Linked DNA regions of Saccharomyces cerevisiae S288C. The protein of the gene in region 4 purifies or fractionates together with the protein of the main gene of each other region. This does not show direct contact. Each region holds a gene or a part of one and is shown on either strand. Other genes may lie near its edges. The genes, in order: UTP9, MPP10, IMP3 and NAN1.

What was found.
Region 1: the proteins of NAN1 (region 4) and UTP9 purify together in Saccharomyces cerevisiae (affinity purification with mass spectrometry; 8 studies listed by BioGRID, with this or other methods). This does not show direct contact.
Region 2: the proteins of NAN1 (region 4) and MPP10 purify together in Saccharomyces cerevisiae (affinity purification with mass spectrometry, with the first as the bait; 2 studies listed by BioGRID). This does not show direct contact.
Region 3: the proteins of NAN1 (region 4) and IMP3 purify together in Saccharomyces cerevisiae (affinity purification with mass spectrometry, with the first as the bait; 3 studies listed by BioGRID). This does not show direct contact.

The regions. Positions count from the first base shown.
Region 1 is NC_001140.6:490,206-494,158, reverse strand, and holds UTP9 (Utp9p), read right to left. Parts: upstream 2,229-3,953; coding exon 501-2,228; downstream 1-500. Other genes in the region: RIX1 (Rix1p), read right to left, coding at 1-263; NVJ1 (Nvj1p), read right to left, coding at 2,447-3,412; MDM31 (Mdm31p), read right to left, coding at 3,763-3,953. UniProt on the Saccharomyces cerevisiae protein: Involved in nucleolar processing of pre-18S ribosomal RNA. Required for optimal pre-ribosomal RNA transcription by RNA polymerase I together with a subset of U3 proteins required for transcription (t-UTPs).
Region 2 is NC_001142.9:435,177-441,146, forward strand, and holds MPP10 (rRNA-processing protein MPP10), read left to right. Parts: upstream 1-3,688; coding exon 3,689-5,470; downstream 5,471-5,970. Other genes in the region: PRE3 (proteasome core particle subunit beta 1), read left to right, coding at 1-51, 168-750; AVT1 (Avt1p), read left to right, coding at 1,626-3,434; MRX12 (Mrx12p), read right to left, coding at 5,818-5,970. UniProt on the Saccharomyces cerevisiae protein: Involved in nucleolar processing of pre-18S ribosomal RNA. Required for the early cleavages at sites A0, A1 and A2 during 18S ribosomal pre-RNA processing.
Region 3 is NC_001140.6:389,312-396,930, reverse strand, and holds IMP3 (snoRNA-binding rRNA-processing protein IMP3), read right to left. Parts: upstream 3,398-7,619; coding exon 2,846-3,397; downstream 1-2,845. Other genes in the region: SKG6 (Skg6p), read left to right, coding at 272-2,476; mitochondrial 54S ribosomal protein uL6m MRPL6, read left to right, coding at 3,648-4,292; CRP1 (Crp1p), read right to left, coding at 5,234-6,631. UniProt on the Saccharomyces cerevisiae protein: Required for the early cleavages at sites A0, A1 and A2 during 18S ribosomal pre-RNA processing.
Region 4 is NC_001148.4:305,868-315,495, reverse strand, and holds NAN1 (Nan1p), read right to left. Parts: upstream 5,287-9,628; coding exon 2,596-5,286; downstream 1-2,595. Other genes in the region: karyopherin KAP120, read right to left, coding at 1-2,108; HHO1 (histone H1), read left to right, coding at 5,892-6,668; TBF1 (Tbf1p), read left to right, coding at 7,275-8,963; TATA-binding protein-associated factor TAF14, read right to left, coding at 9,359-9,628. UniProt on the Saccharomyces cerevisiae protein: Involved in nucleolar processing of pre-18S ribosomal RNA. Required for optimal pre-ribosomal RNA transcription by RNA polymerase I together with a subset of U3 proteins required for transcription (t-UTPs).

The DNA.
Region 1 (3,953 bases), on a different chromosome or scaffold from region 4:
TGACCTCCATGAGTCGATAAGACCAGTGGATTATAGGCGCAAGTCACAACAGAGGTGTGACATCCTTTCCAAAGATCAAAGTCATTGCCTGATCTGATAAGTTTTAGGATTTTTGTAACAAGGAAGCTCAATTCGGATTTTAGCAGCTGTTCATTGATATAAACTGGTGATCTTAAAGTCGCCAAAATGGTATGAAACTCATTACCCTTGGCAATTTCCAGGTTTCTAGCCAAAGTAGAAACTGCGATAAATTCCTCTGACATGCTCAAATTTTGTCTATACTTAGTTTGATAACTGGAAAACCACAAAAATTGAATAGTAGTATTGCATCTATTTTTTACTACATTTTATTATAGTTTAATATTGAAAAATTTTCTTGCGATGACCCGTCTCAAATGATGAAGACAACGTAATCTTTTGAAAATTAATAGCTGCATCAATCAGTGCTTCTCATGTGAAACTTTTCTTTGTATATACTTAAATATATTTAAAATGCTTGATCAATCTTTGTATTCCGATGCGTCGACAAATTCGTCACTTTCTCCATTTGCATAAACAATTGAATCTGGTTCAAGCTTTTCAACAGGCGATGCTTGATCCTGCAAAGGATTACTAATTACATTTGAATGCTCTATAACTTCTATTTCATCATCTTCACCCTCTTGCATAGATAGTTGTGCAAGATCCTCTCTCAATTTTGCTTGCCTCCTCAACATTTCTAATCTACCTTGTATACCGAGTAGAACAGGCAAGATCTCCTCTGAAGATCTTAATGCAGATTTTAAATGCTTGCAATTTTTCTTTGTATGTTTATCCTTTATAGAATTTAACTCCCCACTTTTCAAAGTCAGCAACCACTTAAGCCACAACGGAAGTAAATTTTCTTCATTCCATGGATTTTGTGTTATTGACTTTGATATAGTCAAAAATATCTTACTTAGATGATCTACTGTATTGATCTTGGTTAAGATGAATTTTTTAATCTCTGGTTCTGTCCAACTTCCAGACATCAGATCATCCAATATTTCTGTTGAATTAGCTTCTAAATGCGATGAGAGAATATTAGCAATTTCAACTTGATCTGATTTACTAACTTTCTTGTTTATCTTAGTTTCAGTCTCCTTCTTCTCATGTTGAACTTCAGGCTGAGCTTCTTCTTCTTTCTCTTCTAATTTCTTTTGGTCCGCTTCATCAGCATTATTTTTTTCATTTTTGTTTATTGTAATATACCCCTGAGTTTCAATTTCTTTTAAAGAAATAGATTCAAAGTTGGGTTCATTGACATTTAGCCATGAAATTAGAACCTGTTGCTTGCTGTTTATTGGCGTGAAATCTATAATTTCCAAATCTTCATTTACAACTATAGAACAAACTTTGTCGGCTTCGCCAATCTTATAATTATTAATTTTACCATCAGTAGTCAAAGCCATTATCAAATCATCTAAAGTTTTCAATGTCTTCACTTGGACAGGCCATGATTGGATCAGCTTTGAATCTTCCTTCAAGTCGTAAGCTATTAATTCTTCGTTGTTGGCAATTAACAGATACTTACCGTCTGAAGAAAATTCACATGCTACAGCGTCTGATATTTCAAAACTATACTTAGTAGAGGGTCTTCTCTTTGATGGATCAACAATATAAACCATCTGTTTAGTAATAATGCATACCAATAAAGTGCCATTTTGGTGCAAAATTTGGAAATGAACTATTTCGTCATCTTTACCATCAACTAGCGTAAAAGTCTTTAGAGGTTTCGAATTGTTATACTGTAATTTCTTAACGACTTTATCACTATCCAAAATCCATATATCAGACTCGTCTGTGTCTGCTCCCAAAATCTCTTTTTTATTCTTGATGATATTAACTATATCCTTACCATTAGAAGAGTAAACAACAATTCTTCCGTCAGGAAATCCGTTAACGAAAAAGTTTTCACATCTTTGCTCACTTGATTCACCAGTTCCTTCATCTTCATCTAATTTTCTTTTGATATTGGATGACTGCGTATCTATCAAATCACTACACCACCCAAAGAAGATTACATCTGAAACCTTCATATCGTTTGTCTCATAGTCAATATGACTCACTAATGAACTATTGACCACATAATCCTTAGTTTCATTTAATGGATAAATATCCACATTGTTCTTTTGTGCGACGCTTGCTTGGAATGCAAAACGAGTGGAATCATGCGAGAAGCTCGCCACCAAATCCAAAGAGGAGCCCATTGTGCACTACGGTATGTATATACGTGGAGAATGCCCGGCGTTATATATTGCAACGGAGTACTAATATGTATTTCAACTACATAAAGTTACTTGAAAACTCCATCTCATCGTTAAATTTTTCAAAATTTTTCATGTTTTCTTCTCACCTTTAGAAGAAAAAAATTTTCGCACCTCGTTGTAAGTGACGATGATAACCGAGATGACGGAAATATAGTACATTAGTATCTAAATGGTTGAGAGTATGCTTGTTCAGTGTTCACTTGTGCATCTAGATTACTAGATTTTGTGGGAGATACTTGTATATGCAACAATGATGAAGGCTGGTTTAACGACTTAAGGTCTATCGAGCCCTTGAATGATATGGGGAATGATGTACTTGATTTAAGGGAAGAGGTTGTTCTGGTATCCCGTGAGAGAGAGTCAGGCTCTGCAGTACTTTCCTTTCGGCATTTACTCTGCGACTCAACTTCTGAACTGGAGCTGCAATCCTTTTCCCGGTTATTATCATCCTCACCGTCTGCTTCTCCATTCGGTTCATTTTTGTCTTCTTCCAATTGCTTTTCCAGGTGACAACCTAACAAATCTTCACTCCCTACTTGGTTTAGTGCATTTTCGCTCTTGCTTGTCAAATGGCTGTTACTGTGTTCCTCTTTGGAGGTAAACTCATGTTCCCCTTCCAAAACGTTCATGTCCTTATAGCTTAATATAATAGGTTCGGATCTATTTTTACCAAATTGCAATACTGCTCTTTCACCATCGTTGTAATGCTTCAGCCTCCTTTCGTTTTCAATAAGATCTACATTACAATCGTTATCCTTATCTTCTAGCGTGGTCTCGCGATCACCGTCCAGTACAGTCCACGCGATAGGTAGTAGAAAGGATAGGAGTAGTATAAGAACGTATATTCGTGTGTCCAATTCGCTGGATTGTCTGGAAATGAAATTAAATACTTTACGCCAGCTCAGTTCACCAGCGTCGGGTTGTTCCGCAGTTAAAGCCTCACGCTTATTATCTACCAAGTTTTTCAACCTATCTATAGTGAAAATTAACTCATAGTCCACTTTCTGGGGCTCTATCCATCCCTGTCTTTCCAAATGCTTACGAACTGTTTTTTCAACACCTTTCAAAACGGCTACAGAAAGACCTAACGAAAAGATTCCACGAACCAATGGGGGACGAGTCATGCTTATTATATTTTACAATTATATTTGTAGCTTTTTTGATATTATGCACACACGCAAACGCAACAGTTGTTGGTTCCAATTTTTGTTTGGTTTAATTCCTTCTCTTCCCACACACTCTCTCACTCACAAAAATCTGGACAGAAGAAGCCTCACCTTTTTGTTTTGCAGCTCCTCTTCCCCTTCTCTCCTTCATAAGGGGGTGGGTCCTGATATTTTTCGTCTATTTTTTTTCAAATAGGATTTTCCGCAGTGTAGAAAGAAGAAAGATGCGTCACAAATTAGATAAACTGATAGAAAGAACGATGCTATGTAAATGCATATGTACAGAAAGTGACAGGAGTAGGTATTCCTCACGCGATAGCACCGAGACTCATCAAAATCACCTGGAGTATAAGTTGCAGTGACCAAAAGCCCACCCTTCTCAAGCGTAATGTCCTCTTTTCATCGTCAGCGACGTAGTCGGCGAAGGCATCGTACGCTTCCGCACTTAGATCCCGCATAAGGTATGAATCATATATGGTCCAGGAGCCCTCAAAATCAG
Region 2 (5,970 bases), on a different chromosome or scaffold from region 4:
AGTGGACATCAATCGTTTGAAAAAGGGCGAAGTCAGTTTAGGTACCTCAATGTATGTATATAAGAATTTTTCCTCCCACTTTATTGTTTCTAAAAGTTCAATGAAGTAAAGTCTCAATTGGCCTTATTACTAACTAATAGGTATCTTATAATCACCTAATAAAATAGTATGGCCGTGACATTTAAGGATGGTGTGATACTAGGTGCTGATTCACGTACCACCACTGGTGCGTACATAGCTAACCGTGTGACAGATAAATTAACGAGAGTACATGACAAAATTTGGTGTTGTAGGTCCGGTTCTGCAGCAGACACGCAGGCGATTGCCGACATTGTTCAGTACCATTTGGAATTATATACTTCTCAATATGGTACCCCCTCCACAGAGACTGCTGCCTCGGTGTTCAAAGAATTATGTTACGAAAATAAAGATAACCTTACTGCTGGTATAATTGTGGCTGGTTATGATGACAAAAACAAAGGGGAAGTATATACTATTCCATTGGGTGGCTCCGTCCATAAGCTGCCTTATGCGATAGCAGGATCTGGCTCTACTTTCATATATGGGTATTGTGATAAAAACTTTAGAGAAAATATGTCAAAGGAAGAAACCGTAGATTTCATAAAGCATTCGCTATCGCAAGCCATTAAATGGGACGGATCTTCCGGTGGTGTTATAAGAATGGTTGTTTTGACAGCTGCTGGTGTGGAACGTTTGATATTCTACCCTGATGAATATGAACAACTATAATAGACCCCAAAAGAACAAATTCTGAGTGATTACTTCTCTTTATATTTGTTAACAAATGCCTCTGGATCTACACTGATATAACATATAATAGTCTATAACCTCTTTCTCTTTTTCTCTTCGCTTTACGCTTTTTTCTCTAACTGTTAGAACGACAAAGTATCTCAGAAGGGAATTTCGTAAGCAAGATATTTTACGACTAATCATTTTTTTGTTGTATAAAAACGTATGTGAGATTGATTCACTAATTCTTCGGAGTCCTGGAAGGCTTACCTTATCTATGCATTCGTACAGTTGTGTGCAATGTTAAAAATGGTGACTGTATCTACGTATCTATAAAAAAAGGTTAACTACCGGAAAATCATTTCTTCTCGTAAAGTGTATATTTAGGTTCGGAAATCATAAACATTGTTTTTTTGTGTTTTTTATTTTTAAATAAAAAGAATAAATATTTTATATTAAAAAATAAATTTTAAAGTAAATTAATTATTTAACACGTGATTAAGTTACTCTAATATAATCCTATTTAATAATTAGTAGAGTTGTTGAGAACGAGTATAATATTATTTTTTTTTTATTTTTTTGTAGGTTCTTTGGCCATCCTAAATAGAATAAGCATCCACAACAACTAAACTGGTATTTTGTTATACACAACGCGTCTTGGTTAGGCATCTGTTTTGTTTTAGCTATTGTTCATCGCGTTTTTTTTTTTCTTATCTCTTTTACCGAGGGGCGAAAATAGCGATAGATCGAGAATATAAATAAATAAAATATTGTTGTGTTGTGTAGTTCTAAAGAAAAATTTTACAGTGAAAAGGTAACACCGGGGAGTCATTACGTAGACTTACGTATTCTGTATAACTGATTCCGAGACGCAAATGCCTGAGCAAGAACCATTGAGTCCCAATGGCCGTAAGCGCTCTGAGGTTCACTATATCTCAATCCCATTGAACAGAGGTTCCGCATTCTCACCAGATGATTCTGTATCACAGTTTCAGTCTGACGGGTTCATGACACGTAGGCAATCCATATTGGACCATCCTGTGGGCTCATTTAAGGGAGTTAATTCTTTAAGTCGATTTGCGACTTCGTTGAGGAGAGCCAATTCGTTTCGTAATATCGAGCTAAATGCGGATAATGAAAGATCCTTTTTCAAAGAGAGTAACGATGAAACCTACGATCCGGATACTTTAGCACCAGCTTTGGACGGTAGAAGATTATCAGTAACTTTAAATAATGCTGGTCGCCCGCGCATTACTAATTTGGCTAACAACGATAGAGTTAGTACAGCCAGCATGGCTATTCACGATGATGATTATGGGTCCATCCAAAATTCAACAATTGGGGATTCTGGGTCAATATTACGCCCTACTGCCTCCTTAACAGAAATGATGAGTGGTGGAGCGGGGAGAAGGTTTACAAATAATGACATGGATTCAATTGTAGTGAAGAGAGTGGAGGGTGTAGATGGTAAGGTAGTAACTCTTCTTGCTGGTCAGTCGACCGCTCCACAGACCATATTCAACTCAATCAATGTACTGATTGGTATTGGGCTCCTGGCGTTACCTCTTGGTTTGAAATACGCCGGCTGGGTTATAGGACTTACTATGCTTGCAATCTTCGCCTTAGCGACATTTTGTACTGCTGAACTTTTGTCTAGGTGCCTAGATACAGATCCAACTTTGATATCTTACGCGGACTTGGGATATGCAGCATTTGGTACAAAAGGGCGCGCACTAATTTCTGCTCTTTTCACACTTGACCTACTGGGTAGTGGGGTGTCCTTGGTGATTCTCTTCGGAGATTCTTTAAATGCTCTATTTCCTCAATACTCCACCACTTTTTTCAAAATAGTTTCATTTTTTATCGTTACACCCCCGGTTTTTATACCATTGAGTGTTCTATCTAATATCTCGCTTCTGGGAATCCTTTCAACAACCGGAACTGTGCTAGTCATTTGCTGCTGCGGACTATACAAGTCGTCTTCTCCAGGTTCATTAGTTAATCCGATGGAAACGAGCATGTGGCCGATAGATCTAAAGCATCTCTGTTTATCTATAGGTTTATTGAGTGCCTGCTGGGGAGGACATGCGGTTTTTCCCAACTTAAAGACAGATATGAGGCATCCAGATAAATTTAAAGACTGTTTGAAAACTACCTATAAGATAACATCGGTTACGGACATAGGTACTGCAGTTATTGGCTTTTTGATGTTTGGAAATCTTGTTAAAGATGAAATTACTAAGAACGTTTTGCTGACGGAGGGATATCCAAAATTCGTTTATGGTCTGATTTCAGCGCTTATGACTATCATTCCTATCGCAAAGACCCCATTGAACGCAAGACCTATCGTTTCTGTATTGGACGTTCTGATGAATGTGCAACACATAGATGAAGCGGCCAGCGCCATAAAAAGAAGAGCTGCGAAAGGCCTTCAAGTATTCAATAGGATCTTTATTAATGTTGTCTTCGTTTTGATAGCTATTAATTTCCCTGAATTTGATAAGATTATCGCATTTCTGGGGGCCGGTTTGTGTTTTACAATTTGCCTAATTTTGCCGTGTTGGTTCTATTTAAGATTGTGCAAGACAACAATCAAACCATGGGAGAGAGTGGCTTGTCACGTAACCATATGTATTAGTGTCGTGTTGTCCACATTAGGTGTTGGTGCTGCAATTATTTCATAATCGACGAGGGGCATACTTACTCTACTTAAAATTCATTTACATTAGCTCTGTACTTCTGATAATGAAAAACCATTGCGTAATATACATATTTTCGTGTAGAATTATTTCCATAAAATATTCACCGCCTTTTCTGTACTGGCCGCCGGCATGCGAGGGAAGCAGAAAATTTTCAATTTTGCGATGAGCTCTTGAAGAAACAGTGTTTTGTTATGAATAAATGATGTGTGCACGAAAGACCCAAGGAAAGTCGTATAATGTCAGAACTCTTTGGAGTATTGAAATCTAATGCTGGCAGAATTATTTTGAAGGACCCCTCCGCCACTTCTAAAGATGTTAAAGCATATATAGATTCAGTTATCAATACCTGTAAGAATGGGAGTATTACAAAGAAAGCAGAACTGGACGAAATCACTGTTGATGGTTTAGACGCCAATCAAGTTTGGTGGCAGGTCAAACTAGTTCTTGATAGTATTGATGGTGATCTAATTCAAGGAATTCAAGAACTCAAAGATGTTGTCACGCCTTCTCACAATCTCTCTGATGGTAGCACCCTGAACTCATCATCCGGGGAAGAAAGTGAACTAGAGGAGGCAGAAAGTGTTTTTAAAGAAAAGCAGATGCTCTCTGCTGATGTTTCTGAGATTGAGGAGCAGAGTAATGATAGTCTTTCCGAGAACGATGAAGAACCTAGTATGGATGACGAAAAAACCAGTGCAGAGGCAGCTAGAGAAGAATTTGCGGAGGAAAAAAGAATTTCTTCTGGGCAAGATGAAAGGCATTCTTCACCCGATCCTTATGGTATCAATGATAAGTTTTTCGATCTCGAAAAGTTCAATAGGGATACTTTAGCTGCAGAAGATTCTAACGAAGCTTCTGAGGGGAGTGAGGATGAAGATATAGATTATTTTCAAGATATGCCTTCAGATGACGAGGAGGAGGAGGCTATTTATTATGAAGACTTTTTTGACAAACCCACAAAAGAACCTGTGAAGAAGCACTCTGACGTAAAAGATCCAAAAGAAGATGAAGAATTGGATGAAGAAGAGCATGATTCTGCCATGGATAAAGTGAAATTAGACTTATTTGCGGATGAGGAAGATGAACCGAATGCTGAGGGAGTGGGAGAAGCCAGTGACAAGAACTTATCTAGTTTCGAAAAGCAACAAATAGAGATTAGAAAACAGATAGAACAATTGGAAAACGAAGCGGTTGCCGAGAAGAAATGGTCTTTGAAGGGTGAAGTAAAGGCAAAGGATCGTCCCGAAGATGCATTGCTCACTGAGGAACTTGAATTCGACAGAACTGCAAAGCCTGTTCCTGTTATAACAAGTGAGGTCACAGAATCATTAGAAGATATGATTAGACGAAGGATACAGGACAGTAACTTTGACGACCTTCAAAGAAGAACCCTGTTAGACATCACACGTAAGTCTCAACGGCCTCAATTTGAATTGAGTGATGTTAAATCCTCGAAGTCGTTAGCAGAAATATATGAGGATGACTACACACGCGCTGAAGATGAATCTGCATTAAGTGAAGAGCTTCAAAAGGCACATTCCGAAATATCAGAACTTTATGCTAACTTGGTATATAAATTGGATGTGCTTTCATCAGTGCACTTCGTTCCTAAGCCAGCAAGTACTTCTTTGGAAATTAGAGTTGAAACACCCACTATATCGATGGAGGATGCTCAACCTCTCTATATGTCGAATGCCTCTTCTTTGGCTCCTCAAGAGATATACAATGTCGGTAAAGCAGAAAAGGACGGAGAAATTCGCTTGAAGAATGGTGTTGCAATGTCTAAGGAAGAATTAACCAGAGAAGATAAAAACAGATTGCGCAGGGCTTTGAAAAGAAAAAGATCGAAAGCTAATTTGCCAAATGTAAACAAAAGATCTAAAAGGAATGATGTTGTTGACACTTTGTCAAAAGCCAAGAATATTACTGTTATCAATCAAAAGGGTGAAAAGAAAGATGTTTCCGGTAAAACGAAGAAGAGCAGATCAGGGCCAGATAGCACAAATATAAAACTTTGAACACGCCGAAGAAGACTTAGTTTGTATTTAGGTAAAAAATTATTTCTTCATAACTCTGTTCACCCAGCATTTTTTATGGAATATCGACCTTGTAATGTCATTAACCCCTTAAAGGACCACTTAAAGAAAATGAAGTGCATCATGAAATATTCATGACGAGATGCGGAACATATACACTCATAAATACCAGAAGAATGTGCTGAATAATTTTTTGTTGGTAATTGGCTGTCATTTAAAGTATCGTTGAAACAAGAGGTATTGGAAGATAGCTAATTTTAGTATTATTTATGACGTTCTTTCCTGGATAAATGTAGATGTATATACGTAATAAAATGTTAATTAGTAAGTTATATGCTTTCCATATAATGTTCTATCTTAGTCTGCATAACTTGTTTGCTTGTTTTTGTTTCTAACGCTTCTCCATACTGGGCTAAGAGATTTTTTATTTTTTTTGCAGCAGTCGGCCCTGATATCAGCTTTTCTCCTAGTGCGCCATCAAA
Region 3 (7,619 bases), on a different chromosome or scaffold from region 4:
TTTTTTGCAGCTCGAAGAGGAAAACTGCTCACCCAAATAGGAAAGTTCATCGAAAAGACAAGGTTTCTTCCGTATTTTTTCTCTTTTTATCTCAATAAGAACTTTTAATAATCAATAACAAACTCATGGTGAAGCTTTTGTGGGGAGCAGGCCTTGTCTTTATCCATATCGAATTTTTCACTGGTTCTTCTTTTCATTCTTTCATTACCTTTCATAGTTTTTCGTTGAACTCATATAGCGTCACATAGTTCTAACAAAGATATAGTTCGCGATGTACCACACCCATATGCATGAAAGTTTAATATCTGTGACTTCAACGGTAAGTGTTTCTGATGCGTCTTATGCTTATGCAAGGCTCACTAGAAGAGACGATAGCGATTCATCTTCTTCCTCAGCATCCAGCACGAAAAATAGCAAATCTGCTGAATGTACAGGCTCTAAACAGCAATGTCAATTACCCACAGATTCGAGTCACAGCACCAGTGTAACTGTTGGTGTGGCTGTTGCGGTACCAGTAGGTGTCATTATCATTGTTCTGGCTGTGATACTTTGCATTGTGTATAGGAGAAGCAAAAAGGAAGCTGAGGAAGATAATGATCCAGATTTCGAAGGAGATTCTGAATTTTTACCGACAATGAAGGATTATTCACCTGGAATAAATCATTTGTACTCTAGCGACTCGCAGCAAGACTTCATGGAAAAGACCTTGCAACAGCCGCCTTCAGATCCCTTTGTTGGTAGCATGCATAGTAGTAAATATAATGTGAGAAGCGCTACCCCACCTGCAATTGGTCGGTCATGGTACGTAGACCCGTTTCAGCTTCCACAGGAATCGAACGACTCTAACAGTTTGAGAGATTTTGCCATGAGAGTACAAGAAGATGGACTAGGTGGCTATAAAGTTGCGGCCGAGTCTAGAAATGCCAGTCAAACGTCCTTGCATCCTGATAACTTTTCGAATTGTACACCAATAAGAGCGTCTTCAAGATTTCAAGAGAGTGAAAGCTTTCGATCTCACGGTAGCCCAATCCATAATAACCAGCTTTCCCGTGGTTCTGCCACAGAAGGTGCCAACAAGCAGTTTACATTTCCTAATGAAGACAATGATTCGTCCTCAGTTAGTGAAGAGGCTGAGGTTTTGAATGAGTCAAATGAGTCTGCAAGCAATGACGCGTTCGAATTCGAACTTGATAATAGTTCAGAAAAGACACATGAAAGGAATCTGCGTTTTGGTAAGGATGATGATAATTATGAACTTCAAGATATCAGAGAAGCTGAACATATGAATGATCGTAGTAGCAGTAAAAGTCAAGATGATGATTACTATGTATCACTCTTATCCCCTAATGAAGAAGAAGATATTAAGAGAATGAAAAGTATTTATCAAGTTTATTTGGATAGAGCTAAAACAATGAAAAAGGAAGAGGATAAAGCAGATAATGCAAATGATATATCGCAGGAGGAGAATAGAGTGGATAATATAGTCCAGAATCCACTGCCTTCTATCAAAATTAATAATAACGACAATATCGACAATAATGAGGTACCGGAAGCAAAACACCTGGTGAAAGAAGCACTTCCTCTAAACAATACTAACTTGGCAGAATATGGTCCAGAAATGGCCCAAAGCCAGAAACAATATCCAGTGCAGGATACACTCACCGTGAACGATACGGAAGCAGCGCCTTCCAATAGAATTGCTTCCTCAATTTATTCCGAAGCAATTCAGCCGTTGAATTATCAGGATCAATATCAACAACAGGAACAATCACCAGTATATAATGGCCACACACAGTATCCTGGCAATGGATATAGCGGAAATCCTCAGCAACAGGGGTATACTGCGCAATTCGTGCAAAATCCACAATGGTACGGTGTACCAACTCCTCAACAACAGCAACATAATCATCCTCAGACCCTGGAAACTATTGGAGAATTACCAACTCCCGCATATTTAGCTCAATCAGCTTCCTCGCATTCATTGACCTCTTTTAAAAGACCAAACAAGCAACAACTTCTTCAATTACAGACTGCCAGACTAAACGGAACTGCGTTAAATCCGGTCGATCATCCGGAAATGTTTTATTCACCGACAAACGATGCCTATTATGCTCCACAGCAGCAAGGCCAATATATGAAGTTTAACGAAAATGGGGCGGTTCCTTCACCTTATCAACTTAGACAAAGTGTGGTAATGACCAATCCTTCGGATTTGACGGCAAAACCATCTTATAAGCCAGCAGGTTCTTTCAGAAGTGTAAGCGCAACCAATTCAAGAAATAACAGTCTGACCACACAAAATAATATCTATCTGCAACAGCAGCAGCAGCAACTGTATAATTCTCGTGTTAGTGGGATATTAGAAGAGACAGATGTTGTACAGCCACCAAGTGTTGGTGGAATTTTGCCACATAGTGGTTCACAGGACGATTTAAGAAAACAATTAGGCTCTTCACATAATTATACCGTCAACTGAAGTGTAGATAATGAACGGACAATTATCGGATATATAAATTGATGTTTTATTGGAGAAATTTTACAAATTGCGTATTTATACAAATTAATTTATGTTAAATAGGATTTTTTCGAAGTGTATTTTTAAGTTTTAAGGCATATTTAACAAATGACGCCGATGAGAAATTGTTTTGCGGTTTTTCTTATTTTTGCATACGACGAAGAAGTTCCTTTGTGTATATAACAATTTTTCATGCTTCCAGCTTTTAAGAAAGCTCAGGCGCCTCACATCATTTGTATTTGCTGCCTCGTTGCCTATTCGTAATAATTTCACAATGTAGGAAGATGATAAATCGAGTATTGATACAGAAAACGTAAGTTTGTAGTCAATTTATGAAAAATCAAAATCGTCGATTTGGTTTCTGTATCTCAACAAGGTTTTCTTGATCTTAGAGTTGTCCACCCAAGTAACGTAGTCCTCCATATTTCTCGTTACGAGGTAGGCTGGATCGTTGATCAAATTTGGACCCACGCGAACATGCCCTTGTTCAATGAACTTGACTGCATCTTGTATAGTTTCCGCCATTTTTAATCTATGCATTATTACAGGTAATCGCCTCCTACAGATGGCACTAACAGTAACTTTATTTTCCAGATCAGAAATCTTTGATTTAGTTGTCAGGACACCCATAGCGTATAGCTTGTCCAGTAATAATTGCTCATGTTTGCGACGAAATGGATCAGTGGGAGGTAATAATGATAATTTATTGGCAAGACGACGAATATCACCGCATATCCTATTGTATTTATGATAATCTTCACGATTCTGAATATGATATGTTCTCATGACCTGAGTGTCCCGGTGGCCTTGGTCCTGCTTCCATTCAAGGAAGTCTACTTTTTTCAATAACTTTTGCTCATGATGCTTTAGTTTTCTAACCATTATTGGTTGTGATTATGCCTGGTGGTTTATCTATTTAGAACGTTCTATATTACTTATCCCATTGAATTTTTGTTGCGATGAGCTTATATCAGTGAAATTTTTTTCACTGGAAGTAGAGGGTAATGAAAGGCGAGCGGAAATAGCGAGGAGACGCTACGGTTATAGAGGAAGAATATCAAATACTAGTAAGTAAGGGAAGATCACGCAATAAAGCTATCGCAAATCTTACTATAGGAATTGAGGCCAACCTATGTCATTTATTCAGAGGAGGTTATTGTCGCAAACACTTTTTCTGCGCTCTCAAGTGGGGTCTTTACCACTTTATATATCTCCTGAAGTTCAGGTTTCCATAAATGCATTATCCATGCCCAGGATTATCAGAAAAGGTAGAACTTCAATGAATATATCACAGAATATCACAGTAAAGGGACCCAAGGGTGAATTGTCCGTGGAGGTCCCTGATTTTTTGCACTTGGACAAGGATGAAAAGCACGGTAAAATAAATGTTACAGTTCAGAATTCAGAAGATAAACATCAACGTTCGATGTGGGGTACAGTAAGATCACTTATAAATAATCACATTATAGGTGTTACTGAGGGGCATCTTGCTGTCCTTAGATTTGTAGGGACAGGTTATAGAGCTCAATTAGAAAATGATGGTAAATTTGTCAACGTTAAGGTGGGTGCATCTATCAAACAAGGATTGGACGTTCCTGAAGGTATTGTTGTCAAAACACCTGCTCCCACGTCTCTGATTATTGAAGGGTGCAATAAGCAGCAGGTCCTTCTTTTTGCTGCCAAATTGAGAAAATTCCATCCACCAGAGCCGTATAAAGGCAAAGGAATATACGTTAACGATGAAACAATAAAGCTAAAGGACAAGAAAATCAAATAACTTCAGGATTTCAGTTATTTTCGTACTCATTTTCGTAATTTTTTTTATGACATGTATCTTTTCTTATACTTTATAGGGAATACCTTGTAAATATCCTATGAAAATAACTTAAATGAAATTTATATTGGTTATTAATGCGGTGACGTGTTCTTGCTTGGTAAACATTTTGGTGTTCAATGAAACTCTTGGCTTGCAACCTTTAATATATACTAGTTTCACGGAATATGAACGCAATAAGTAAGGCCACAGAAGTTCGAACCTTACCTTTCATTTTATACAGTTTCGAAAAGGGAACACCATTTAGACTAGAAACCAAATATCCTCTTTAACGTTCTGCTAATGCTATATATTTTTTGATTCCAACGCTAATAAAGATTTTTTTTCTTGAGTACTTTTCATGTTTTGTTGTAGAGAGCCCATTTAAAACAAAGATGTTTACCAGAAAACAAAAGAAAAGATCAAATAAGTGAGTAAATGAAATGCTGTACCTTCCAATTTCTCGAACTCTTTTGGAATTTCAGGGTATGGTGGACGATATTAATGTAAATTATGATTGCTCCCCTGCCAATTGGTATAGGATAAAGATAGACATATTAGGCATCAGAGGGGAGAAGCATTGCAACCAGATAAGATAAATCAAAGATTTTTACCTACAACTACTTATACTATTATTATACTATTATTATATTATTATTATATTATTATTATCATTACTACAACTGCTACTACTACTACTACTATTACTATTATTATTATTTGATATTTTTATTACTGCTATTATTATAATTTATTATTATTATTATTATTATTAATATTATTGCTATTATTAGTAATGTGTTAGCATTATTGCCAATATTAGTATTATACTTTCTTTCTTTTTTTTTTTAATTTTTTTCTTATATTTCTATGATTCGGCAACATGAGACCAATCCTTAGATAATTCACTTAAATAGCTTCTTCAATTTGCCGAAGAAACCAGTTTTCTTCTTCTTGGGCTCTTCTGTCGAAGAAGACAAAGGAGAAGCTGTCTGTTTCTTTGGGGCTTTTACAGTTTGTTTCTTAACCTCTTTGGCAGAAGGCTTTTTTTCTTTACTGGTTTCTGACCTCTTGACCTCTTTAGAGCCTTTTTCTTGCTTCTTTTTCTTTTCTTTTTCTTCTGACACTGCTGGTGATTTTCTACCTTCAGCTGTTTGCTCGTCAGTCAAGGGTAGCTTGGGAGCTTTGTTAACGATGGGGTCTAATGTAAAGACCTCTTCATCTTTTTTTGCCTTATTTTCTACTTTTTTGGAACCGTCTAATACACCTTCAGTGGACTCACGTTTCTCCACCAACTTAGATTGAAGAGACCCCTCCACTGGTTCAACTTTCGATGACTCAGGTATAGATATTTGTGCTTCCGGAGTTGGTAATGGTTCGGGCTCATTTATTAACGGAGTAACCGCTTCCACTTGAGGAGTAAGTTCCTGCACATTATGAGCCACTTCCTTGGTCTCAACAATCGGGTCGTCAGCTTGTGGAAGAGCAGGACTCTTTTCCGTAACTGATGATTCAACAATAGGGCCAGCAACGGGTTCTGGAACCTCTTCTTTTTTGTTAAGTCTTTCATTCAATTCCCTAGCATCAACGTCTCTAATTTCGGTAAATTCCTTGATTTCACCAGGGTTTGGGACAAGAACAGGACCTGGTCCACCAATTATACCATTTGATTGAGTTGTGTCTGCACTTTGATCGATTGGCAGAATATGGAAATTGCCCGGAGCTTCTTTGGAAACATTAGTAGGCTCCGCCAATGGAGTTTCTTCCCTAGAGGTTCCAGTAACATCTTCAGTAGTAGTTCCAGTCACCCCGTCTTCTTCTTCATTATCGTCTAAACTTTCATTTGACTTCTTGTTGTTCTTAGTACTCTTTTTCTTCAATTTAGATCTTCTTTTCTTATTGTTACGCTTGTTTTTCTTTCTATTACTTGTAGAAGGAGGACCTGCTGAACGAGGCGGTTTACCACATAATAGGCCACCTGCCTCCGGGATTCTACTGGCACCGGCAACTTCCTGCGTTTCAACTAAATCGGTAATTTGTAAGAAATTGTTTTCGATTCCTTCACTAACATGCTCCTTTTTATACGAATCACTAACGCACCAAACGCCATCCACAATAAACTTAAACTGAAACGTATCATCCTTGTTGGCTAGCTTCACGGGCATAGTAATTTCGAAATTTCCCTTGGCGGTCTTCACGAGGGGTAAAGTGCCCCTCCAGTCATCAAACGTTCCTGTTAAAATAACATCTTTTGGACCAGCAGGCCAGCTAAAAGTATAGTTGAACATGAGTTCACTACTCATTTTTATTGATAGATTAGTTTTCTTAGTGATTTTTGTATCTTTTATTTTGTAAGTACAAAAAACGTATCAGAAAATGATAAAACCTTGTTCAAATCCTTGTTTGTATTGTTTACCAGGCGATGAGATCGGGTTTCAACAATTTTAGCAACGCCACTTTTCCTAACGGGTAACACACCAAGATAAATGGCGTCAGAGCGTCTTTTTTATGCACAGAAAAACCAGTAGAACACATTAATTAATATTATAACTACATAGCATTTACTTGGGTTGAAATGGTGAAACCTTACCTGGAACTGCTTATTGAAGCATAGAAATAGGTGCACAGTGGAACCCAAAAAGTTTATCGGCAACTTTACCTTCAGTGTCTTGATAATAAGGCAAACGCTAGGGTCAATTGAAGAAGAATTTCTGTTAGGTAAATTAATAGTGTCATTGGTATTAGTAGAATATTACCCGTCGAAATAGAACCAACTATCGTCTATCGACTAATATTCATACTGCTAGTATATTATTATATCCAGTGTAAGAAGATGACTTTAAGATTGAAAAATAATCTTCATAATTTAATGGAAGCTGAAACGCAAAGATTGATAATGCAATAGGATGACGAATGACGACATAAAAAACGGAAGAAGAAATACCAGTAACATTATGTAGAATAGGAATTTCCTTTATCAATAGTCGGATCATAACGGTTGCATTAAAATTTGGGATATTGGTGAATAATTTGATAATTTTTGGCATTCTGTAATTGATAAAGCTATAACATCAAATACAGAATATATAAAAGTGTTGGAATAAAAATCAACTATCATCTACTAACTAGTATTTACGTTACTAGTATATTATCATATACGGTGTTAGAAGATGACGCAAATGATGAGAAATAGTCATCTAAATTAGTGGAAGCTGAAACGCAAGGATTGATAATGTAATAGGATCAATGAATATTAACATATAAAATGATGATAATAATATTTATAGAATT
Region 4 (9,628 bases):
TGGGATGAAAAATTTTGAAGAAGCATGCCCCATAGTTCATACCCGTCTTCGCTTAACAACTGATATTGCATAGAAGAGGGATCACAGGCTAATGCAACCACAGGTATGGCGATATCCCACGTTAAATGTGACTGTGATCCCAAAGATGATACCAAATTTCTCAATAACCTTAACAATGCGTTTGCCAAAATAGCCTCACTAGCATTATTTGTTGCTATTTCCCAAAGGTTTGGTATGATTTGCAAAATTTCGACTAATAGATCCCTGCTAATTAAAGGTTTTGTTTGAATTATGATATCGCTCAAGGTGTTTAAAACATATAGCCTTGTCTCGGTTAACGACACAGATGGTAAAATTTTCCTCAACAATAAATGAACATTTTCAGTTAAAAATGGCTGAAAAGTATCCTTGTTGAAGTTCCAGTCATCAACCATGGTTCTGACAGTCTGGACTGTGGTTAACAAAACAACTTTGTCGTCTTCATCTGTCAGGAAGTTTGTAAATAACTTGTAACATAAACTTTTAGATTCTTCCGAACACTTCACAGTAGACCATTCGTTTATAATTAAAGCAACTCTTCTTCTGATAATCCTTAATTCGTCGCCTGATATGTTTGTATTTGTAGCTTCTGGTAAAAAAACCTGAATTAGTAACCTGTCAAAATCTACCATTTCACTAACAGCGGATGCACTTAATTGGAAACTTGCATAAATTGCGTCTTTCCTTAAAAAATCGTCTAATGAGTTTGATAGCTTTGAAGCATCATTTTCAATTTTCTTTAACAGGTAGGGAACCAACAGCTCAGAGAAAGTATTCATTAAGTCTTGAAAAACGTTCTCTGCACATGGTCTGATTTGATATTCGTAACTCGTGGCCATTTGTTCGTTTATCCATTCTTCTGGATCCATAAACCAATTTTCTAATTCAGTTGGTCTTAACCTCAAGTACCATTCCATTAAAGTGTCAACCAACCTTGTTATCAAATTCTCATTCAGAAATTCTGTGTTGATTTTGTTGATAGAAGCATCTATGGTTAGTTTATCACTTCTTGCTTTTAACGTAATTGCCCCCTTTTTGTGAATGAAATTAATGACCCTTTTCAAAATTAAAAGCCCTCTAATAGCAGTCTGTTCCCAAAAGTCCCCCGTGACATCAGAATTCTCTCTATATACTTTAGGGGCCTTATCGAAAATTAGCCTAGTATAAGTGATTAGAATTTGCGTAGAGCATGGCAGTAATATGAAATTAGCCGGAGAGCCAGTGACTAAATTGAAATATAACTTTCCTAGGCATTTGATAAACTTTTCGTAAATATCAAACTTTTTGAAGTTTTCATGGTTTGAAATTAACATCTCAAAGTGTGAAACGGATAGTTTAATAAAATCGCAAACAGACTGATCGGTTTGAGGGCGGTCGTATCCTTCACAAATTATCCTTCTGAGCACTTTCAAAGCTAGGTAAGAAACTTGTAAACTGGAAAGATCCTCGTAGTTGAGATTGGAGGATGTCGTCCATTCTTCAAATGATTGTAAATAAATCCTGACAATTAGTGGTAATATCAAAGGAACTTTACTTTGCATAGCGGGTCGGCACCTTCCTATTCTCGCAGTACCTAATACTTTAACGATTTGATTTATATGCATCAATATATTGTAAATCTTAACTGAATCTTTTCTGATGATCTCATCGTTCAATAGGTTTTCTAGATCCTCAAATAAGGTTGGCCACTCTACGGGAAAATCTAGCCTTGCAATCCTTGCGGAAGCTTGGGCATTCTGAATACAAAGTTGATTATTCTGTTCATCGATCATTTCAAAAAGACGACCTCTTATCGAGGCTTTTTCATCTTTAGGTATAGCGTTAATTCTAGTGGATCTCCAGTATTTATCCACGCCGTTCTTAAATTGAATTACCGCCAACCATCTAATTTGTAAAGAATTAGATAAATTAAGGTAGATTGACTGTAATAAGTAATGAAATCCCGCTTGAGTCTCCCATTGTCTTAGTTGTTGTTCGGCTAATTTTTGAACATCTGACCTAATATGTTGTGGGTTACTTGCTTGTTCAAGTACTTGAACCAAGTTTAACTCGTTAAGAGACGAGGCCATTTTTGTTTAACGCCTTTTAAAATTTGATTCGGTTGACAGTTGAGGCAAGCTAAAAAGTTAATAGTTTATGGTGCCTCCTTTTTCTTAAACACAACACCTACCAAGAAGTTTGACAAATATTAAGCTACCCAATTGTTTGAAACTTCAATCTTCTTACATGGAAATGTACGCTATAGAAGTGTAATTCAAAAAAAAAGAGGCGGCTTATTTGGAGAGATTATTTTATTCATCTTGACTGAGGATGCTCATCAAACAAAAATCGTATGAAGAGATTTTTTGTATATTATGATAGTTCTATTAACATTAATGATTGTGAAGCTTTTTACGAAGTGTCTGTTCCTATTAACCAATGCATTCTCTTCCCTTCCCTTGTAACTAAGTTATACAGATATTTTTGCTTTCGGTTTGCTTTATAAACATATATATATATATATATATATATATACCTTTATATCTATTTTGGATATCCAATGGAAGAACCCTAAAGCTATGTTAATACTTTCATCACACGATCAAAAAATGTATCCATTTGCACGTTTTGAATGTTGTCAAACATGCTCGTAAAACTATTCATATTGACTAGCTTATCTTTCTTTTCGCCATTTATAAATTCCAAAGCGATATCTTCTTCATCTTCGTCGTTATCATTGGTATTTTTATCTCTAGTGTCACTTTTTTTGCCCCTAGACGACAGTTTATGCAATTGTTCTGCAAAAATATCGCTATTGGATGCCGAAGTTGTGATGGTGTTACTTACCAGGCCATCCAATATTCCTTCGTTATTAACTTCATCAGATAGTTGAGTATTCACAGTGGTTCCGACAACACCTAGTGTTGATTCTATGTCCAAAAATATGAAATCAGTATCATAATTCCAACCAATCCAAGATATGTATTCATGATGCGTAAAATTACCCAATTTTGTAGATAAGTCAGAATCGAATATAATAATACGGGATTTGTAATTGATAGTTGGTACGCCATCGAGATCAGTTAGTTGTTGATTTATAACCAGGGCAATGTTGCCTGTCCTTTCGTCACAAGTAATAAGCCTATCCATGTGACCATTTTTATACACTCCGTTAACAAACGGATATAAGTCAAAACTATTTATGACTTGACCCCGCAATAAGTTGATGGCGTTTAATGTAGTCCTGGTGGCCACTATTAAATTTGTGTCATTAATCAACTTGACGGTTTGGATTTCAGAGTCTAACGTGAACTCACTGACCGTCTTTGTATTTTCCAATGATTCAAACTTTTTAAAAGTGTCGAAATCTAAAATTTGCAACTTGTCATCGAAACCATGGAATATTAGAGACCCGTCTTGAGACCAAGCTAAAGAAACGGAGTTACTGAAATGATTAAAGTTTGGTAAAGAAATTTTTTTCAAGCACCAGTTGCTCTCATGAGAGTCGAAGGACCAAAATTTCAGTCCACCGTTGTTGTCAGCCGTTAAACAGCCTTGACTATTATTAACTGATCTTGGTGAAGGCAATATCTTGGTAATTGGGACACTTATCCCGTGTGGATTTATTACTTTCGTTTTCAAATTCCAATTTGTCTCATTATCGTTTTTGGTCCAAAATTTCAAGATATGAGTTAAGTCCTTGGAAGATAAGAGGTCATTTGGCGGATACTCAATTTCGTATGTAATCATCCATTGCCCATCTTTGGTGAACTTCAAATCAGTTATTATTGGGTCTTGTAAATTCAGTTCAAATCTAACTTTACCCATAGAATTGTTGACACCTGATGTTAAATACTGATAGTTAACTTGCTCATTTTTATAGAAGTCAAAAATTTGAACAGCAGAAATGTGTGGGAAATACAAGTTCTTGTTAATAGGGTTTATTTCTACATTAGTGGTGAAATCTTGTCTTCTCGATTTAATTAGTTTTCTAGATTGTTTCTTCTTAGAGTGATTGAGAGAGGTAATTGAGTTGGAGTTCTTGGTATTCATGGCCGAGATTGGTTGCTGAATGTGTTTTATGGTGCTATTGAACACCGGTAATGGCCCGTTAATCGACAATTTGGAGGTCAAATCAGAAGCATTCAAAAGTAAAAATTGGTAGTCAGAATTTGAATTGTTTTCAGTCATTTGTAGGATTAAAGAGTAGTAGTTCCCTTGAGGTCCCAATACCTGACAGTCGATTATAATACCGTTCAAACGAGGCAGGAATTGTTGAGAGTTTGTTTCCAATTGCCATAAACTCATAACTTTTTCCCAACCACCAGATAGCAAATAGGATCCATCGTGAGAGAATGAGAGTGACAGCACAGAGTCTATATGCCATTTGAGCAGTCTTATTTGTAGATCGGCCAGGCTTACGATACTTATAACTCCGGAGGCAAATCCAACAGCCAGTTGTTGACCCATATTGTCTATGGCCATGCTAGAAACGTACCTTGTGTTATAGGATAGGGATTGAGTCTGTGAAGAAAGGATGGAACCGAGGGGAAAGCTTAAATTTACAGAATCATCAAAAAGCGAAACAACTGAGATGGATTTGTGTTCGTGATCTTTTGTTGAGACGTCTTTGCACATATGCGCTAGCAGTTTACCATTGGAAGAAATATTTGACAAGATAACGTTGTGCCATTCTGCCTGATGAGCCACTTCAAATTGCTTTTTAGCATCGTCAAAGGTTAATGCATATAACCTGTACGATTGCAAAGAGTTATGTGCCTTTTGACTAGGGTCCTTGAACGTTGTCAAAATTCTATAGTTGCCCTCGCTATGGAAAACATTTGCAAGCTTTTCATCTGCCAAAGAGATTTTGAAATGCTTAGGGGACTCGACCAGCTTCCCCTTATAATTTAAAACAATTACATGACCATTATTGGTGAATACGGTAATCAGATGAGCGTCTTCTTGTTGCGGAACGGTTATATCACCCAGCAGAATCTTTACAATCGATTCATTATTCTCTTCTTCTTGCAGAAATATTCCGGATAACAAGGAGTTATTTGCAAACTTTAGAGTCTTAACACATTGTCTAGTTTCCACAGAATACACCTTGATCTGATTGTTAAAGGGTATAATATAGTTTCGTTGGTCTTGTGATAGGCGGGCGATATTCTTATTGCCGGTTACTGAACTGAGATTATTCAAAGCGGGTTTCCCACCAGATACGACTGACAGTTTATACTGTTCGATACCTAGGGATTGCGTCATTCTGGTGATCAGCTAAAATGGTTCTGGTTTGTACTTGTAGTTCCTGTGACGACAGCCAATATAACTGATATGTAAACTGTGCCAAAAATCATTTGTTCGAAAAATTTCATCTCATCTCATCGCTAGGAAAAAGAAAGGAAAATTTTTTTCTAGTTTCTCCTTCTCACATTTTACATCACTTACCACGTACCCTAAGCAGTAGGCCGCCTTAACCCTGACGTGCTATTTTGTTACCCTACTGATGTGACCGCTAGATTTTGACATGCCAAGCAATACAAATCTCCAAGAAGTTGCTGTTTGCTTTGATGAAATGCTATTCTGTGTCAAAAATGCCCCCTCCTAGGGACTTGCGTCTAGGTAAAAGCTATTCTGCACAATAACAGGTTTGATGGATGATTTTTGTTTGTTCTCTTTGGCTTTTCATTTTCGCGTCGCGTTTTCTGCTGTTGTTTGTTTTTTGTGTGGAAAAGCGGGCGGTCAAAGTTTTTTGTTTATCTGCCTTTATTTAAAGAGGAGGAGCAACTATAGATTTGGGGAGTTGTTATTTATGGGCACCTGATAATGCTTGGCAGCGAGGGAAGCAATTATAATACAACTAAAGCAACATGGCACCCAAGAAATCCACTACCAAGACCACAAGTAAGGGCAAGAAGCCTGCAACCAGCAAAGGCAAGGAGAAATCAACTTCCAAGGCCGCTATCAAGAAAACCACGGCAAAAAAGGAGGAAGCTTCCTCCAAGAGTTACAGGGAGTTGATCATTGAAGGGCTCACGGCTTTGAAGGAACGTAAGGGATCCAGTCGTCCGGCACTCAAGAAGTTTATCAAGGAAAACTACCCGATCGTCGGATCCGCAAGCAACTTTGATTTGTACTTCAACAATGCCATAAAGAAGGGTGTGGAGGCCGGCGATTTTGAACAGCCAAAGGGACCCGCTGGTGCTGTGAAACTGGCCAAGAAGAAATCTCCAGAAGTAAAGAAAGAAAAAGAGGTCAGTCCAAAACCCAAGCAAGCCGCCACTTCTGTGAGTGCAACCGCATCAAAAGCGAAAGCCGCATCCACGAAGCTAGCGCCAAAGAAAGTAGTGAAAAAAAAATCGCCTACTGTTACCGCCAAGAAGGCCTCTTCGCCTTCTTCATTGACCTACAAGGAAATGATCCTTAAAAGCATGCCTCAACTTAATGACGGTAAGGGCTCCAGCCGTATCGTTTTAAAGAAGTATGTCAAGGACACTTTCTCCTCCAAGTTGAAAACAAGCTCAAATTTTGACTATCTGTTCAATAGCGCTATCAAGAAATGTGTTGAAAACGGCGAGTTAGTGCAACCAAAGGGCCCCTCCGGCATTATTAAACTAAACAAGAAGAAGGTCAAACTCTCCACGTAAAAAGTGAATATCCAAACGAGAATGTCAATGGTGATAGCAATACTATCAAACCTATTTTCTTTCTTCATTTTTGTGTCCCATCACTATTAGTATTTTGTATTATTTCTAAATTTTTTTCTCTCTAATTTTCAATCTTATTCAAGTGTTTGTTGGCGGTACTGTAAATTTTCATTTTTTAATCTCTCCCTTCTCTATTTGTTACTTATTCGGTAAATATCTCCTTTATGATTTTATTCAAATTCCATTCTTAACTAACTAACTATACTGTTTATAAATTTCTCTTCTCTTATATATGCAAGGTACAGTGTGTAAAATTAATTATTGTATTTGAAGAAAAGGCTTTAAAATCTGAACATTTGAAGCCCTAATATTCTGCACCGTGCCCTATTAATTTTCGCCCCTTTCCGTAGAAGCCCGGCGAGACCTCATTCCGACTAATTTTCCTCAATGCTTTGCCCTTCCTTGTAAACATTATAATAAACAATCATCTCAATATTGGCGTTTTGCTCCTATATCCTTGCCAACATTTAAGATTGTGGCTGTCCCATCTGCGACAGAAATCATTTTACATTAGTTTTTCTTTACTCACTTCTTTCCCCATTTGTCATGGATTCGCAAGTGCCCAATAATAACGAAAGCTTAAACCGCTTCAATGACATCATCCAAAGCCTGCCTGCAAGAACTAGGTTGACCATATGCTCATTATGTCTGCTGGACAATATCTCCACTCAACTACTGAGGTTTCTTATCCTTAATGCCAACTCTCCCAATATTATAGCGGTTTTGACGGACCAGACGGCTTTCCTAAGCTCAGGCGAAACAGAAATTTTTCAAACGTTAGTCAAGCTCTTTAAGCAGATCAGAATGATTTACCACACCAGATCTCCGTTACTGTCTGTTCACGACGTGGCGCCTGGTTTATGGTTTCCCAACTCCCCTCCCCCCCTTATATTGAGAGGCCACGAAGCGTTTATTATTACTGCCATAAGAAAGGCGAATCTGCTAACATTTCTATTGACGTCGCTGAACTGCCTTAATTACGGGTTTGAGCTGCTACAGTCGATATTTCTCGATATTTTCTGTCCAAATACAAACACTGTCGGTAACAACTCCCTGGAACAAAGCGGAAAGTTTTTGAAATCGCAGGCTATCCTATATCTTGATCTGAAAACACAGGCTTACATTGCCGGCTTGAAAGAGTTTCAGGACGAGACGAACGAAATTTCTTTAGAAAAGAAACAAGAGCTACTAGACTTAATCTTCCCATCCAATCTGGCTGATATTCTCGTGCAGAGAAGAACCGGCGATTCTGGAGACATTACACTTTTGACTCCATCGGAGAAGGACTTCGTCGAAAGGTGCGATCGTCGGAGAGAAAATTTAAAGATCGTCCAAGATTTTAACTCTCTGACCCAGAGCTACGAATGGGCTCAATTTATCAGAGAGTTGCTGGATTATTGTAATAAAAATATGGGTCTCATCATATGGGGCAGAAAGGGTCGCGGAAAATCACCATTATATGACTTTGATGTCAACGAGTTTGATCCTCAAGTACTCTTTTCTACAGGGACCAGGACCGTAGAATTCATGGACGACCAAAATCAGCCAAGCAGTGCGTCTGCTTTTTTGTCAACTGCTCGTCCGAATCATTACAGCACACATACACCTACCACAGATGTGTCTTCCAAAAACCCCGCTATCACACAATCCATTGTGGATGCCGCTGTTGCGGCCTCGATGAGCAACAGCAGCTCTGGTCCTCATTCCTCTCATAACAACAGCAGTAACAGCAACAATAATGGTAGTATCGGATTAAGAAAACCAAAGGCGAAAAGAACTTGGTCCAAAGAGGAAGAAGAAGCATTAGTGGAAGGCCTGAAAGAGGTTGGCCCATCGTGGTCTAAGATTCTAGATTTATATGGTCCCGGTGGTAAAATCACGGAAAATTTGAAGAACAGGACGCAGGTACAACTGAAAGATAAAGCCCGTAATTGGAAATTACAATACTTGAAGAGTGGCAAACCATTGCCTGACTATTTGATAAAAGTGACCGGTAACTTGGAGAAAATCTACAAGGCAAAGAAAAAATTCTCTCAATCTCCAAATTCGTCAACTATTATGGAACAAAATTTATCTCAGCATCCTTCATCAGCTGCATCTGCTACTGAAGACACTCAAACTCATCAAGAGGATTCACATGGGCAAAATAGTGATAATATGCCATCTAACGGACTTTTTGGCAATAGTACATCGGACAATACAGGTTTTGATCCTCATTTAGAAGATGGGATGTAGCGCGCTTAAATGAACAGACTTCTAATTTTCTATTGAACCACTCACTATTAAAAATACTTTGATGGGTTGTTAACTTCGCATTGTTTGGTTCCCTAGGTATATTCTTTTGACGTGGTCACCCTATCTTCTAGCAACCTGGTCCCCTCGTGTTTTTCTTTTTATTCTTTTTTCTTTTCCATTTTCTATTACATTGGAATGTATATATTTGATGTTCTCATTTTCTAAAATGAAAACTGTTGTATAATTACTTAAAATCCAAGATAAAAATGTGTTGTAATAATATGTGTTTGGTAAGGTGTCGCGGTTATTGGAATAAAGTTTATATAAGACAAAATATCAACGTGTTTTATTTATACAAACATAAAAGCGCGCATTTAACGCCCTTTTACCTTTTATTACTCGGTATTTTTCTTAACGTAGTCCCATAGACTTTTCAATAATCCCTCAGGTAAACTATACAAGTCAATTATAAATTCACCCTCTTCAACATTATTCGTCACGTTCATTTCTGGTGTTTTATTGTCGGTAACCATTTGAACAACACCAACCAGGTCATCTTCATTTAGTTTAGTCAATCCGAACGCTAATTTTTCTAGGTCCACGCTCCCTTTCACGGTAGATGCACTGCCCGTCTTAGCTCTCTTCGCCTTTGGTTCTGCAGTTGT